Linked DNA regions of Mus musculus. The protein of the gene in region 1 interacts with the protein of each later gene in a pairwise test. Links are inferred from orthologs where the notes say so. Each region holds a gene or a part of one and is shown on either strand. Other genes may lie near its edges.

Region 1 (4,427 bases):
AAGAAAGAAAGAAAGAAAGAAAGAAAGAAAGAAAGAAAGGAAGGAAGAAAGAAAGAAAGAAAGAAAGAGAAAGAAAAATAAAAACCATCCCTAACTCCAGTTCCAGGGGATCCAATGTCCTCTTCCTACCTCTGTGGGTACCAGCCTTCTGTGGGAACCAGGCATGCAGGTAAAATGCTCATATACATAAAAATCAATCTAAAAAATTAAAAATTTTAAAACTAGGACTGGGAAAAAAAAAAAAAAAGACCGATCAAGTGGAGCAGAGCAGCTTTCACAGACCCAGAGCAAGCCCAACCCCTAAGAACAGGGTAGTGAGCCTCACCCATCTCCTTCCTGAGGAAGAGCTGGGCGCTGGTATTCTTCCTGCTGCTTTTTATTCTCTTCTACTCCCCAGGGGCCAGTTTCCCTCCTGGACCTTCAGATGGCATCCCTTTCTCCCTCAAACTGGCCACCATGACTAACTAGCCTAGATGAGCACAGAGCCAGCACCCATCGCTTCTCCCTCCTCCCCCTCCCCCTCTGGGGCCTCTGAGGTCTGTAGCCAATATAGGTTGACAGATAGGAAAACTATTCCCCAGCACCGTCAGATGCCATCAGGAGGGCTGGGAGCTCTAGCTATAATTCAAGTTGGTAGCAAACTTGAGTTACAACCAGGTAACTCAGTCCAGACAAACCCAATCTAGAAGGACTGACCGAGTGGAAAAGAGTCAGCAGCTTTCAGGTGGCTGAGACCCTGAGACCCTTGCTAGGAGTAACCCCAAGCTAGCTCATAAAGAGGAAGGACCTGGGTGTTAAATCTAGGGGTCCAAAGCCCAGTTTGGAGTATGAGACTGCAACTTGGGGATTCCTTTGAGGATTCCTAGAGCTATGGACTCCGTTTATTCAGACTGGAGGGGACAGGGCATGAGTTTCTGGAGGCCTGGGAAAACCAGACCCCTTCACCTTGCTGACTGCTTGCTAAGGAGATCCTAGCCATCTGCTGCTATATCACTTCCTTTCTCATCGTCTTTGAGACCCATAGGCGGCTGCTTGGCTTGGAATGTCAAACAGGTGGCCCTTCCCTGCACTCCACTGGCATCTGCTGGCTTCTTGAGTCCCAGCAGCCAGCTCTGTCCCACTCAAAGACACCAGTTTCCTGCGTTGCATAGAATCCCATTGCAAGCCAAGCTGCTGACCCAGCCACCGCAGGCTCCTGGACTGCTGCGAAACACGATGCCGAGGAACAATTCCACTAGCCCGTGGCGCGGGCTGAAGTTGAGTTTGTTTCGAGTCCGTGAGGCCCTGGACATAAATCGCTGCTGCCGTATATCAAAATTTAGCCTTCAAATCAAGAGCTCCTTACACCTGGGCCGGATGTGCACAGCGTCACAAGGGCCAGTGGTTCCCATGGCAACAAGTAGGCCTTTGGCAGGGGGAGCGGATCTGGCAGTGCACCCTGCAGCTCTGGCTGGGCTCCGCACAGGAAGCGGGCGGCCAGGCACTTGCAGAGCGGGGCTGGGGCTCACGGAGGTGATCCGGAAGAGGAGTGGTAGGTAGAGGAGTTTAGGAGGTGTGCCCAGAAGCTCGGGGTGGGTAGTCTCCACGGAGGGGGAGGGGTGATAGAATAGCTTAGATGGGGAAGTAGTTATGGAGACTTCCATTGAGCTTTCTAGCGGCCATGAACTGTTGACTCAGGGTCTTGGGGCCCTGATCTCAGCTAGCATTCAGCCAGGAACCATTCTCTGCTGTCTCAGATGCCTGTTCTAACCCCCCCCACCCCCCACCCCCGGCACGCACCACCATTCACACAAATCACTTTGAATTAGTCTTTGGGACATGATCAATCTTACTATCCAGCTGTGTGGTTTTGAGGTAGTCATCCAGTCTCTTAGCTCTGTTTCTTGCTCATCCAAGCCCAGTTTCCACAAACTGAGATTTCCAAGTGAAGCCACTGGCCCAGTGCCAGGGACAGCTAGCAGGAGGTTGGTACCTTCTCCAGGGATCTCTGGCTACTGGGCTTTGTGGCACACCAGCCTCTCCACAGACAACCAGATTTGGGGGAAAGGTATGGGGACAAGGAGAGGAGGGCTGACTCTGGAGTCAACAGTTCCAGCTTTGGGATAAACTGGGTACAGGAGCATACACCCCTGGAGTCCCAAGACTGCTTGAGCACAGGAGTTGGAGGGCAGCCTGAACAACAGACTGAGATGTTCTGTCAAAATCAAAAGTGACCATGAAGGAAGACCAACCTAACAAGCTTTAGCGTTAGACTCCCCCCAACCCCCATCTGTGAGATGGTGGGAGAGGATCTACCCTGTTCTTAGCCACACAAGGTCCCCCCCCCCCCCTTTATGTGAGGATGATGTAGAGTCTTGTCTTTGGTTAGCCTGGTCCCTGAGCATTGCACCCCTGCAGTGTACCTGGTCTCTGGAGAGTACTGGGAAGCATGGGGAATCACCCTAAGCTTGGGCACAGACCTGTGTTAGGTGAGGAACCTGAGACTTATGATCTGTCTCAAAACTAATCAACATCCCAGAGCTTCTCCCCAGGCTACTCTGGTCCCTGTAGCCCACTCTGTCTGATAAGCCCCATTAGCTCATCGCCACAAAATACTATTGGCCCCTTGATAGAAGTTTCCCGTTTATCATCTGCTTTTGCCCAGTACCCAGCCCACTATTCTGTCCCCTCCAGGGGTCTCTGATCAGAAAGCTGTGTCCCAGGGGAGAGCAAAAGCCATTATGGGGCAGAGGCTGATGAGGGGCAGAGCCAATCTGACGGTCACAGCTGATGCCTAGTTCTTACCCTCAGCTCCCAGACAATGAACTTCCAGGTGACAGGCCTGGCCCTGGACAAAATGAAGCTGGACAGTCCACATTCCTTCCTGGACGCAGAGGAGGTGGAGGAGGCAGAGGACCAGCAGCTGCTGGAGCCAGAGGCTTGGAGGACATACATGGAGCGCCGCAACGTGCTGCGTGAGTTCCTGACCACAGACCTGAGCCCCCAGTTGCTCAAGCGCCACCATGCCCGCATGCAGCTGCTCAAGAAGTGCTCCTACTACATTGAGATTCTCCCTAAGCACCTGGCCCTGGGTGACCAGAACCCGCTGGTGCTACCTAACACCATGTTCCAGCTCATTGATCCCTGGAAGTTCCAGCGCATGAAGAAGGTGGGCACAGCACAGACCAAGATCCAGCTCCTCCTGCTTGGGGACCTGCTGGAGCAGCTGGACCATGGCCGGGCAGCACTGGATGCCCTACTTGAGGCCCCTGACCCACGGCCCTTCCTGGCAGGCTGGGGGCTTGTGGAACAGCAGTTGGCAGACCTATCAGTTGTCATGGACAACTTCCTGGCCATGATGGTACCAGGACACCTGCATGTCAAGCACCGCCTGGTATCTGACATTGGAGCCACCAAAATCCCACACATCCGGCTTATGCTGAGCACGAAGATGCCAGTTATGTTCGACCGGAAGGAGTCAGTGGCGCATCAGGACTGGGTCAGCCTGCGCTGGTTTGTAACCATCCAGCCGGCAGCACCAGAGCAGTATGAACTGCGCTTCAAGCTGTTGGAGCCCAGGACACAACAGGAGTGTACACAGTGTGGCATAGTCCCTGTGGCTGCCTGCACCTTTGATGTCCACAACCTGTTGCCCAACCGTACCTACAAGTTCACTATCAAGAGGGCAGAAAGCTACACCCTGGTCTATGAGCCCTGGCGGGACAGCCTCACCTTGCAGACCACGCCAGGACCCCCTGAGGGGCCTGCCCCCAGGCTGGGTAAGCCCAGCCTGCCCCTGACCACACCTTCTGAGAGATGATTTTCTAATATTTATCCACTAATAAAGAGGAGTATACACACACCAAATTAAAGACACAACCCTACTTAGGCCTTAAGAAAGTAGCAGCTATGTGTTTTCCTGATGGCCCTACACCCCACAAGTCCCAGAACCCCTTTGCCTTCTGTCTCTTCCAGGAGAGCCCCCGGCTGGACTCTAGAACAAGAGAGAGCTGGCCACCGGTACCTGGCTGCTTCAAGGGAACTCAGCCCCTCAGCCTCAGCACCTTATGTACCCCTCATCCGGACAGCCAGAACCAGATTTCTTTCCCTGCCTCCTAGGTTGAGCTCTCTGAGGAAGATGATACTTTGGGCCTGTTTGGACACCACTGAGGGCAGTCATAGCTTTAGTGCTAGCATCCCAGCTGCCTTGGAAACAAGGATGCCCAGGACCATGATTTCTTACTTTTAAAATAAAGGTCTTACACTCTCCCCAAGTAAGATGAAGTGCCATAGGCACCCCACATGTGTGAGGGTCCCAGAGAGGAAGCCTGGCTGGGAACCTCTCAAAGACATTCGATGATGCACAGCTTCTGAAAAGTGACCACCCTTACAGCGCTGACCTCAGTAGCTAGCTGATGGTATTCAGCCCACACAGGTAACCACATTCC
Region 2 (4,402 bases), on another chromosome or scaffold:
TATAGAATTGTTGTACCTTAAAACAAGCTATTTCTTAAGATATCAAATTTAAAACCAAACTTGCATTATTCTGTGTTACACTACCGCTAAACTAGATCTCTAAACTATGTGTTTAGTAATACAGTCTAAACTCACACTTAGAAAATAAAGTAGTAATCAAGACCCATGACATTTACAATATAAAACCAACCAGACATCAACTGTGTAGACTTTCCTACGTTTGCACTATGCGCTCCCGCTCGCTCTCTCTCTCTATATATATATATATGCTATCATAAAGCAGAAAGTGATTTCTCTCTCTCTCTCTCTCTCTATATATATATATATATGTATATATATATATATATATATGCTATCATAAAGCAGAAAGTGATTACTGACCAGATGCATTTATGTTTTTTCAACTTTAAAAATACAAAAACTTTTAATAAGACTAATGTCTGAAACATTTGTAAACCTTAAAATCATCCCCATTTCAATTTGCTATATAGCTAAATGGCTGGCTATTTTCAGACTATCCAGAAATGTAATCAGAAACATTTTTTTCAAGAAACTGAAAGGTTTCCAAATATAACACGGGATCAATCTGACTCTTATTACAGATTACAGAGGAACATCTATTTGCTCACAAGTACTTACAAATTCCAAAAGGACTGCACAAGAAGGTGTTGATTTCTTCTCTATAAGCTTTATGTTTTCCAGTTTGTTTTTTTATTTTGTATCCTCTGAAATATCCAAGTTCTTTGAAGATACTTAACCTATGACTATTTGACATAGAGTTACTTGAAGTCAGCTACCCATATTTACTTTGAAGTTTTCATATGGTCAGATCCAGAGTTAGCCAGGTTCCTTGGATTTAAGAGCAAGGTCTTCTTTACTGTTCCATGTATTTGTCACTGTTGTACTTATCCACTCCAGAAGAAATAGCCAATTTATGTGCCAAAAAGCAGAAACAAAAAGAAAAATTTCACATCTGAAGATTACTTCTAAACATCAGCGTGTATAGACAAATAGCTATCTCAATACTACCATGCTGGTGTGAAAATGGAACATCTTACATTCCCAAGTAAATAAAAGATAAAAAGAAAAAAACGCTGTATTCTTTCAATGTCTTCATTTAGAAAAGCTGTCCCATTGTAATATGAAAAAAGCTGAAGTCAAAAATTACTAAAACTTTTAATAAAGGTAAAAAGAACTGCCACAAAACTTCAGCAATATTTAAACAGTAATTTGAAACTGCTGAAACTACTTGGTACACAAATCAAACATATCTTACAGTTTTGGCTGAAGAACACAAACAGGAGAGGGGAAAGAGACAAAAATAACACCAGATGAAATGCTTTAACCACTTATATAATCCGTTTGACCCAAAATACTGAAGAAATGGCTGGGACTTTTAGTAGCTCGTTGAATTTGTTCACTACTATCAATTCACTTCAGAGATGATTCTTGTCAATTTTAATGAACTTCTGGAGCAAAATTGCCCAAAACAAAAACAAAACTGTAATTCCAAAATGGCCACTTGAAATATCCGGGGCCTTTTAAACAAAACCTAGATGATGATCTTCATACGCCAAATTCAACCACCTGTAAAAGTTGTATTAGGAAAAAACAAAAACAAAAAACTTAAGTCAGTTTTTATTTTCAAATCAAAATTAACCCCCATTTGGAAAAAAATTTAACCTCTGGGGAAAAAATTTTTCCCACACAGCCGTAAAAAGAGAGCTGGGGAAAAAGTCTTTTCCTAGCCCTCGATGAAGTCTACTGAATGAAGGGAGTTAGAAAACTGTGGGCGACGATATCACTGAAGAGTTCCGATTTGAACTGGGAACTGGGTGCAGGTAGTACCCTGGAGGTTGCAAGCGCCCAACTTAAAAACTTTGAGCAAATATTCAAACTACGAAAGTGGCCCACGGTCTCAGCAGTGCTCTTCCCCGATTCTCTCCCATGTGCCAAAGGAAAACAAATGGACAGGTGGTGCTGCCACGGAGCGTCGGGGAACCCGACTCCGAGAGTGAGAGGCGGAAAGGAGCGTGACGCTCCTTCCAAAACGCAATCTCGGAGGACGGAGCAGCTGGATTGTCCCCACTACGGCTTAGTAGGAAGGCCGGCGGGCAGGCCGGCGGGCGGGAGGGGAGCGTGGCAAGGCGAGCGTGGCAGGGCGAGTGGCTACGGTTCGCCCGGGGGCTGACTCCCAAGCCCGGGAGAGCAGCGCTCGGCTCCAGGTGCTCGGCCCCATTCCCTTGAAATTAAGCAAACAGGTTTCGGCCAAAACTCCAGGGGTGGGAGGTGCGGGACGCGACCCGTCCACCCCGTTAAGGACCGTGCTCTCCCCGGGAAAATAAACAGGTCCCGTCGGACTCGGGAGCCGACGCGACTTCGGAGCGCTCGCCTTGGGCGAGCAGCCACCACCACCACCGCAACTGCCACGGAGCCCGGCGCGGCGGGGAGGGCGAAGCGCCGCCGAGCACACGGCGGAAGTCCACGGCTCCGCACGCCGCGACTCCAGTCCCCGGTCCCCCGGTTCCCCGGTTCCCGGGGCCGCCTTGCTGGTGGTGGCCCAGGAAGGCGCGCGTGCCGGGGCCTGGGGTCTTAGCCCGACGCCGCGGGCGCCCCGGCCGTTCCCGGCCTTCGCCGCCGAGCACCACCCCCCCCCACCACGGCCGCCGAGGCCCGCCGCCCACCTCGCCCCACGGCCGCCGCCGCCGCCTCCGCTCCGCCGGGCTGAGTCAACGCCGGCCGGGGGGAGGGAGGGAGGGAGGGAGGACGGGCGGGCGCCCCGCGCCTCACGCCTCACGCCGCCCCCCGGCCGCCCGCACCCTCACGCCTCGCGCCACCAACGCCGCTCCCGACCCCTCAAGCCCCAACGCCGACACGGGCAACCCCTCCCCCGGTCCCCGAGACTCCCGTCCGGGGCCCAGGGGACTGTGTTACCTTCTGCCCCACCAGAGGTGCCCCTGGCCTGGGGGTGCCGCTGCGCTCGATCCCGGGAGGAGGTTTTCGGTACTTTGAATAATCCCCTTTTGCCGCTTTTCCCTCCCCCACAACCAGTCTCAGTCCCAAAATGGCGCCGACCCGATCCGCAATGTTCTGGGCCAAGTCTCGCGAGATCGTGGAAGGTGGCGAGGGAGGGGGGACGCAGCGGAGAGGTTGAGAAGTAAGAGGAGGGAGGCGGGGCGAGGGGAAAAGAGGAGGAAGAAAGGGTGCGGAAGCCGCGGTGCAAACGAACCCACTGGGCGGAGCCGGAGGAGGAGGGCCTCCACCACAGAACCTTCTGGCCCAAGTAGCAGCTCACGCCCCAGGTCAGGGAAGCTCCGCCCTCTACGTCGGCGCCTGGGGGAGAGGAAGGGGCGGGGCTAGACCGGGGGCGGGGCTTTGAGGAGGACCCGGAGGCTGGGCCTGGCGCGGGGGAAGGGCGGGGGCGGGGCGGGGGGCGGGGCGGGGAGGCGGAGTCTCGGCGCGGTGACGTCAGGAGCAGCTGGAGCCGGGGATTACCCCCTGCTGCTGACGTGAGGACGGTGAACAATCCGGAACGTTCGGTGGAAGGGGGAATTCCCGTCCGTTCCCTGAGGAGCGCCTCTGTGCAGCCGCGGGCCCTCCCCGAGCTCGGGAACGGTGGGGTGGAGAGGACGAGCGCAGGCGGTCCGGACGGGCAGGCGGGCTCGCAGGGCGTGCGGCGCTTCTGAGTCTGCCCGGCAGCGCCGCGCAACCCGGAACGGCCGGCGGCGGGCGCCGTTCGTTCGGCTCCGCCTGAAGCCCGCCGTGGCTCGCAGGCCGCTCGGCGCGGGCCCTGAGCGCTCCGTGGGCGGAGCCGGCCCTGCCTGAGTGATTGGGCGCCGCAGTCGCGCGCCACGCGGAGCGTGCGGGACGTTAACACGCGGAAGCCGGGTTAGGGAGGCGCGCGAGGCTCGGCTGCAGCCACCGTTCCCCCGGAGTGCGAAGGGCTGCCAGAGAGCATCGCGCTAGTAATTCCTATTTCTAATAACTCCAAAGGAGATGGATTATTTCATCAGCGTTGTCCTGGGTATCCGCATAGCACAAACGATTATTTAAAAAAAAAAAGTTACGGTATTCACTTTCTCTACATATAGCCAAAGGTTCACTCTGGAAAGGTTGGAGATTTAATTCTAAAAGGAAAAAAGTAGAAGAAATGAGGGAGAAGCGTCCTAAAGAGGGAAAATCACCGGAGCGTCATTTCCCAGAAACTTTTTATATGCATTATAGGGTTTGTAGTTTAGTGCGTTACCCCTATAAGTTCGCCGAATGTAAACTCGCCTTAATTTGTACCTCAATCTTTACCCATCTTGCCCCCTAGGTACAAAGGGAAAAAGGGCTTAAAACTAAAGGATGCTTTTTTCAATCGTGCCAATGTCTAAGATGTGTTTTCCTCACTTTTTACATA

Evidence for each region. The genes of interacting proteins can lie anywhere in the genome.
Region 2: the proteins of Fndc11 (region 1) and Gpbp1 interact in binary tests that used the Homo sapiens proteins (3 or more experiments, as listed by UniProt). The link is inferred for Mus musculus from reciprocal best matches to the Homo sapiens genes FNDC11 and GPBP1.

What each region holds. Positions count from the first base shown.
Region 1 is NC_000068.7:181,218,604-181,223,030, forward strand, and holds Fndc11 (fibronectin type III domain-containing protein 11), read left to right. Parts: upstream 1-1,430; 5' UTR 1,431-1,531; intron 1,532-2,790; 5' UTR 2,791-2,800; coding exon 2,801-3,799; 3' UTR 3,800-3,846; downstream 3,847-4,427.
Region 2 is NC_000079.6:111,486,784-111,491,185, forward strand, and holds the start of Gpbp1 (vasculin), read right to left. Parts: upstream 3,345-4,402; 5' UTR 2,935-3,344; intron 2,817-2,934; exon of another isoform or gene 2,685-2,816; intron 1,588-2,684; 5' UTR 640-1,587; intron 1-639. UniProt on the Homo sapiens protein: Functions as a GC-rich promoter-specific transactivating transcription factor.